2 linked regions of the Drosophila melanogaster genome follow. The protein of the gene in region 2 interacts with the protein of the main gene of each other region in a pairwise test. Each region holds a gene or a part of one and is shown on either strand. Other genes may lie near its edges.

Evidence for each region.
Region 1: the proteins of Klc (region 2) and syd interact in a two-hybrid assay, tested with the Drosophila melanogaster proteins (one study listed by BioGRID).

The regions. Positions count from the first base shown.
Region 1 is NT_037436.4:7,933,730-7,937,657, forward strand, and holds the start of syd (sunday driver), read right to left. Parts: upstream 2,392-3,928; 5' UTR 1,751-2,391; coding exon 1,649-1,750; intron 424-1,648; exon of another isoform or gene 259-423; coding exon of another isoform or gene 256-258; intron 63-255; coding exon 42-62; intron 1-41. Other genes in the region: Srp9 (signal recognition particle 9), read left to right, coding at 2,746-2,886, 2,952-3,044. UniProt on the Drosophila melanogaster protein: The JNK-interacting protein (JIP) group of scaffold proteins selectively mediates JNK-signaling by aggregating specific components of the MAPK cascade to form a functional JNK signaling module.
Region 2 is NT_037436.4:12,748,088-12,752,015, forward strand, and holds the start of Klc (kinesin light chain), read right to left. Parts: upstream 1,970-3,928; 5' UTR 1,876-1,969; intron 1,753-1,875; exon of another isoform or gene 1,623-1,752; intron 812-1,622; exon of another isoform or gene 720-811; intron 596-719; 5' UTR 571-595; coding exon 1-570. Other genes in the region: CG10984 (uncharacterized protein), read left to right, coding at 2,520-2,652, 2,715-2,768, 3,220-3,928. UniProt on the Drosophila melanogaster protein: Kinesin is a microtubule-associated force-producing protein that may play a role in organelle transport. The light chain may function in coupling of cargo to the heavy chain or in the modulation of its ATPase activity.

The sequences.
Region 1 (3,928 bases), 4.8 Mb from region 2:
GAAAATAAATAGACCACAAACGAAAAATTTTGATAACTCACGATGCTGACAACCTGTTCATTCTGAAAGAGAAAGAAAAGAACAAAAACATGGTGTAAAGGACACATAAAAAACAAAATTTTCAACAAATTGATTAAATGAAAAATGTGCAAATAAAACCCGTCTTATGAATAAGTACATGATGAATGAGTGAGGTTGGTGCAAAATTATTTACGATAAATGTGTTAAATAAGATAATAAAATAAAAAGATATACCATGCGTTTTCACGTATTTAAATGATTTTAATTGGAGTTTAATTTAGTTTTTAAGTTTTACACGGCATTTCTTGGCATTTACATTGCAAGAGACGGTAATTCTCTAATAAAAACCCGTCAACCGCCCAAGGTTGGGCCAACCTATAAGGCCAACTAGCTAAAGTATTCAAACATTTTTGGTCAGACTTGTTTCACAAATGGTTTCTGCGCTCGTTGGGCTAAAAAACAAGTTTTTATCGGCGTGTCAGCAATGCTTCCCGCTTCAAAGTGCCTGTTTGAACTCATTACTCAATTAACAGGTAGCTTATCAGCCGCCCATGTGCGCCAAGAACTATGAATTGGGGAACCTGATGAGCTCATTTCGTGGTGAGGATAGCGAAATAACACTTATATGAGTACGAAATTGAGAGGGAAGGCCCCCTGATTTGATTTGCATAGACCGATTAAAGCTAGCGAAGCTGATAAAGTGCAAAATCAATCGGGGAATTGGGGTGAAAATTAAAAATAGACCAGACTGTAGATGGGGCAGTTGAGGAATCCAATATACTATATACATATATGGAGTTTTAAGGCTATAAAAATCGATAAGCTTTTATGGTGTCATACCATTTTATTGAACTGATTTTGAAAAAGTTGTTGAACCTAAAAATACCTATACTTTATGGTTATAAATAATTATAAACGCCAAAACTATAATTATTGTGTTTGATGTTCTAGAATTTCTATAGCTTATCAGATAAGAGATGTTTAACAAAATTTATGACATGGTATTTCTTTCTCTGCAGAATATTGCGTGAGGTGGTCATAAAATTTGAGGGCCAACTGACTGACTTTATTGATTTCTGGTCCCCGGCTTCTTACCCTTCTTTTGCTCTCTAACTCTCTTTTTCTACCCATTTTTGGCTACTATTTTTCGCCAGCTTTAATGTCAATGACCACAGACGTCAGCTGATGCATAATAAACAATTGTTGGCTGCGTTTTTACATAATTAAGGGTATATAAACAAGAAAGAGATACGAAGAGAGCAAGAATGATGTGCAAAGAAAGCATATTTCTGCGATTGTATTTCCGCTTGGAACACTTTTATAGCCTCATTATCTCGTGTTTGTGTTACTTGTACGATACGAGTGGGTCTGAATGTGGATGGTAAGGAGCAGAGAACCAGAACAGATTAAACCTACTTATTGTGCGTTATCAAATTTAAGGGAGAATCAGAAACGCCCGTATGATTCAGTGAATAGTATAAATTAGTCAATGGTATCACAGTGAATTTTCCTGGCTATAAACTATCAATGGACTGCTATTGAAACTTAAGACTATTCCCATTCCGAGTGATCTGGTTACTTCTCAGTGGGACAAGATGAAAGAGGGCTTTTGTGGATGGACTATTACCTTCTCCGACATGACCATGTTGTTGTCCTCGGTACCGTAGACAGTTTCAGCTCCGGACTGTGGTCCTCCATTGTTGAGCAGTGCATCATCGTTGTCCATCATGATGAATGGTGTTTGGGTGGATCGGAGGATCTCTTTATTTATAAAGGAGGTGTGCTCTCTACTCTTTAGGAAGGGCGAGGGGCGGTAGGGTGCTGCACTTGACTGCTGTTGATGGGTCGTACGTCACGCGTTAACCGTTATGCAGGCAATGGCTTTTCAACCCCACCAGAATAACAACACGGTAGATGGGGAAGAAAAGAGGGAGAAAAAGAGAGAGAGACTCCCACACACACGCACACACCACACACAGACACTTGACTTTTTGATGATTTGTGAGATTATATTTATATTTTGAACAGATCTCTAGTATATTTAAATAAACTGCACTTTAGCTGGCTTCTGCGTGTCACTTATTATTTGCGTTTTCGTTTTGCGCCCCTCTTTCTTCTCTTTCACATCCATTCACAATATTTGATTGACTAGATTTCATCGTTTTTCGCGTTTGCTTTTCGATGTATTTTCAGCAATGTTACTCGCGAATTTCACTGCCGACGCCTTCGCGGCCATCCGTTGCTTACGATTGAGCACTAAATTTAAGCGAATCAGTGGTTTTTCACACCATTTTTGCAATAAATATTGAAACACTTTGCAGCGCAGCTACGATGTGTGGGTGGGTGTGAACGTGTTACCCTGAAAATACCGATCACCTTGCATTGGCGAAGTGGTATTTTTAACTAGGTGTTTTACGGTCGCACTTAAGTAATGTTTAGCAAATTATTACACCGTAACTTACTAAAATTAATTATATTTATTTCTAATATTTTCGATTTATGTAAAGTTTAAATTTAGAAAGGCCCTTGTTTGAAAAACCGTCAGCAAATATTTGAAAAATACTAAGACATTCACAATGGGGTGTTCAGCTGTTGAGCTATTCGTTATCGAATAGTTTTGGCTTGTTGGTTTGGTATTTTTTCGATAGCTTCAACGTCACGCCGTCCAGTTGCTGTTGTTGTTTTTAATAATTTCGCCTGGATTTCCATTTGTTTAAATAAAAAATGGTTTTTGTAAAGAACTGGGATGATTTCGAGATTGCCGTCGAGAACATGTACTTGGCCAATCCACAGAACTGTCGACTTACCATGAAATACGCGCACTCCAAGGGCCACATTCTGCTAAAAATGACGGACAACGTTAAGGTTTGCACCCAATTCCATTATCAGTGCAAAACACATTTTTAAATTTTTACTTCATTAAACCACAGTGTGTGCAGTACAAAGCGGAGAACATGCCGGATCTCAGAAAAATCGAGAAGATCACCAGCAACTTGGTGGGACACATGGCGTCCAAGGAATAGAACGCAGAAAAACAGAAACTTTTTGGCCACGGCGACACTTCTGCCCAGGAACAACAACAAAGATCATAGCACATGCATGAGCATATGAATCGGCCACGAATGTTGTTGTTGCTTCGCCGGAGCAGGTGTGTGCTTGTGTGTGTGCCATCAACACCCGCATTGAATTTAGTTTTTAAGCACCAAAAAAGCCGCCGAGTTTTTGACATTCGAATGTGGCGATCAGAGTAGCTGCTGCATTTAGCCTGCTTTTAAACGACATTTTATAAATGTCTGCTCTGTACACGTTGCGAATGAACTGCGGATGGAATCATCATCATCATTACTTCTCTTCTGGTGGTCCAAATCCCCATCTGCAGGCAGCGGCGGCGGTGCAAAATGTTTTTCATAATGTTAACCATACGGTTTTGTATTTATCGTAAGAGTCAATCGGTCTTTCAACACATTTCCATGAAACGATTAGCATGAAATAAATCAAGGGAGAACTGAAAAATGCAACGAGACTAATCAATCTTTTGGTGTTTTTATCATTAATTTGGTTTAAAAACCCCATTTTATATATATCTAGATCAATCAATCTATTCCAAAATTAAGTTTCCAATAGGTAATGCAACCAAACCTGCCATATTTTTCACATAAAAGAATATTTTATTCGTTCTAAGTATTACTCATGTTACCTGAAATGGATGTAATTTCTTTCGGAGCATATCAAAAGAATTTATTAATATTTCCAGCACAAGAAGAGGGAGTAGTTGGCATTCGGAGACGTTTTCCGAAGAACTCTTAATTGCCTAACCATTAAAGCGATTAAACAGCCCGAGCAAACAGTTAACAAGCCACCTGAAAGCAGGAGGAGGAACCGAAGAACCACCGATGGGAACTGGAAA
Region 2 (3,928 bases):
GTGCAGAGTACGGAGACGCGCTGGAATCTCGTAGCCGGAAGTCTGGTTGGCGAACTGGCTGGGCGGAGTGGGCGACATGTTGTGTCTGTCCTCGTTTTCCTCGTCCGGGAATAGCTCGACCACGGGATCGGTGCGGGACTTGTCGCAAGCGTCGTCCTGCTCCTGATTCTCGTCGTACTTCTTCACGGACGCCATGAACTCCAGGTGCTTCTTCTCCTCCTCTAGTTGGGCCACCAGCTGCTCGGATGCCTGGAACTTTTGCTGAGTGTTGGCCAGCTCGTCGCGAAGCCAGGCGTTCTCCTGGTGGAGGCGGCGCACCTGTGTCTTAAGCTTGTGCTTCTCGGCCTCGATGTTCTGCAGATGGGATGTCAGGGCCATCATCACCTGGGCCTCGCTGAGGCCCAGTTCGATGTTCTCGATGTTCTTTCGCAGCATGTCCGACTTTTCATTGTCCTTCTGCACCTCGGCGATTCCGTTCATAATCGAAACATGCTCCACTCGCAAGGCTTCGAGGCCTTGAAGGACTGTTTTCGTATTGGTTATGATTTCGTCCTGCGACATTTGCGTCATTTTGCCGATTTTCTCAATTTTCTGTCTACAAAACACATACAAAATACAGATTAGTAAGTGCTCCTACAACCCTCTGACATCTGAAAGTGTAACAACATGAATGATATCAAAATTAAAAGGTGTTAATCGAGGTATTTGATGTGTTTTACATCCTGTATGATTTGATAGCTTTGGAGACAATCATTTTAACCGTATATTAAACGATTCTAGCTGCGTTAATCAATACGATGAAAAAGAAAATTCGCAGTGCGCATGCACGTTAAAAAAGGTGGTTGATAATCGAAAATGCCCGCGCTATTACATTCGCTGTAACAATAACTTTTAGAAACTACAGAAACTATTAAAAGTAAGGGATCAACTTTCTGGATTAAGTTAACTTCAATTTACTTTTAAGCCAAACAAATTCCAGTTCATTCAATTATGTTTTCTAATTGGAAACTAATGGTGGAAGCATATTCGATTTATATCGAATACTGTGCTTTGAAAACTTTCTTTTATTTATTATTTATCAACATTGCCGGTGTGATTTACATAAACATGACACTTCGTTAAAAAGTGTTTAAGGCCATTTAGTTCGTTTATTATGGTTATAATTATGGGCGAAAGTTAATTACACTTGGCGTCATGCAATAAACAAAAAACGAATGGCAAAAGTAGCTGCTTACATCAACTAAAATAAATTGTATAGTTTTTTAGAGACCGAAGCTATTAGTACCCTAACATATTCAAAATTATAGTTTTCTTTAGTCATTTGCCTTTCGAATCGGAAATCTAGATTGCGTAAAATGAGATTGTAAGTTGATTTTCGAGAAAATAGCTTTATTCTTAATCAAGATCGCCAAATATTGTGATTGGAATAGTCAGATTATAAATATTGCAAATGGGGTTACAACACCCCAGCTCACTAATTCCAGTGTATTAAAAAGTGAGTCACTTTTTGTACATAATATCTATGAACACTTAAACATAAAAGTTAGTGGCATTAAGAGATTGTATTTAGTATTTATCATGCTAAACGATTACTTAGGCCTTAGGCCTCCATTTGTGTTTACTTTGCCACACGAGCTGCCGCCGAGCACTTTTCCAACTAGACTTGATTATTTATGTAAAACGAATCATATTTTCCAGTAAAAAACTTTTCTTCAAGTGGCAGTCACTTATATTTATGTGCAACATATGTACATACACAGATAAGCTCAAGTAGATGTGTTTGTGTGTGGGTGAATGGATTTTGTCGTTCGAAATCCAGTTGGAAATGATTATGCAAGTTATCGCGCAGTGCATTCAAATATTGTAACTTATTACCAGCGGTTTTGCTCTGCAAACTCCTCAAATAAGCGAAATAGTGCGTAGATTTGCTATAAAAATATCTTACACTGCAAAACTTCTAAAATAAAACTGAGTGTGACCGTAGCCGGGGCGTTGAATTGTGTTTGACAAGCTAGGATTTTCTTCAACTGTGCAGTAGTGGTCACACTGTCGGGAGGAGAACGCAGTGGAATCGAAACACTAACTAAAGAAATGAAAATTCCTGAAAAAATCGGGTAGACTAACAATAAGACTTCGTATAATAGCTAAGATGTAGTATAAATAAAGTAGTAGTTAAAAGTAATAATGCGCAACATGCTATTTGTAAGCATCTATAACATGTTGGAGGTCAACAAACGCACATACCTTGGTGGAGCAGGTATTGATTTAGTTCAATAAAAAATTTAATTTTTGGAACTAATTAAAGGTGTATCTTGAAATTTGTACACATAATATATAAATTAATTTGTTGTTAACTTAATGGATTTGAAAACATCGTTATTATATTAGCAAGCTGGCATATTTTTGTATTCACGATACGGTCGCACTATTCTTTTTGTAATAAATTTTGCAAGACTTTTTCAAGTCTCCGTTTTTGTTCTATATTTTAATTTTTACCGTCTAAAACTGAACAAAAGAGTATGCCACCCCCAAGACCGAAGGGGATAGGATTTAATACAGGAGCTACCCAACCCAGATCGAACTCAAACACGCCAATGTCGGAGAGGCAGCAAATGGCTCTGCTCATCCAAATGACAGCCAACTCGTCGACAGGTAAATAAGCAAAATAATTAAGTGAATGTCTACTTTTCACATGATTCAAGTGGATTTTATAGTTCAGTCACAAAGCTTAGAACTTTTGCTCGTCGGCTTGAATTTCAATTTACATCGTGGGTACTTCGCTGCGTACATACTTACACGCATATACATCTATGCATGTACATATCTACGTATGTACATACATAAATGTATCTGAGAGTCAGGAATAATGTAAAAGTATCCGAGAAACTGGTTTCGATTGCGGATAAATTGTCATTTAACTGATTCAAATGAAGATACCAATTATTATTGAAGAAATATGTGTAAAGATGTCAAAAAAACCCTGTCTCTTATCCGAGCTAATACTTTAGAAACCAAAATTAAAAACAACTCATTTAACGATGCTTAAGTTCTTAGTTTTCACACAAAATCATTTTAGTTGGTTTTCCTTCAAACATAACTACAAATTCCACCCGAAAAGATATCCGATAGACAATAAGCTTTCATTTTACTTCCTACATGATCTTCCAAACTAAATCACACAGCCGTCAAATGTAATGTATAAGATTCTCGTTCTTGCAGATTCATCCCGCACCACCTTAAAGAAGAATGAATGCAAGAAAGGAGACGCAGAGACTGACGAGGGCAGCCTGAATGAGAAGCAAGAGGTCCTGGACACGAAAGACAAATCTTCAGCGGAGGAGAGCAGCAACGATGGTAAATCCAGCGATACGAATCATCAGGGAACTTCGGCTGCCAAGCGCTGCTACTCAGACATAGAGGAGGACTACGAGGAATCTGGCGAGGACGTAAAGAAAAAGAAGCGCAAGGATTCGGAGCATGGAAAGGACGTGAAGGGGGCCTCCCTGAAGCTCACATCGCGCGTGGAGAAAAGCTCCAAGCTAGCTGCAACGAAGGGATCCCCGTCAGGAAACAAAAGCAGCGCTTCCAATGCCGAAAAGGAGCCGGCGGAGACTAGTAAGAATGTAGATATTGAGAACGAAACGGAGTGCAGCGATGATTACAAGAGTAACGACAGCCTATACAACGGAGGACTCAAAGTGCCGCCATTAAAAATTGTGATTCCGCAGCAGAACTGCTCAATCGACACTGAGGGCAATGTGCTTCGAACTGGCAAGGTGACTGCCTCTCGCAATGCCGCCCTGCCGTATGTGGTCAGCTCCAATAGCGATTCCATTGACACCGTCATAACCAATCAATCTATTAGCCCGCACGAAAGTCCACAGAAGAGCAATAGCATTTGCTCCACAGCCCTCGATGACAAGAATAT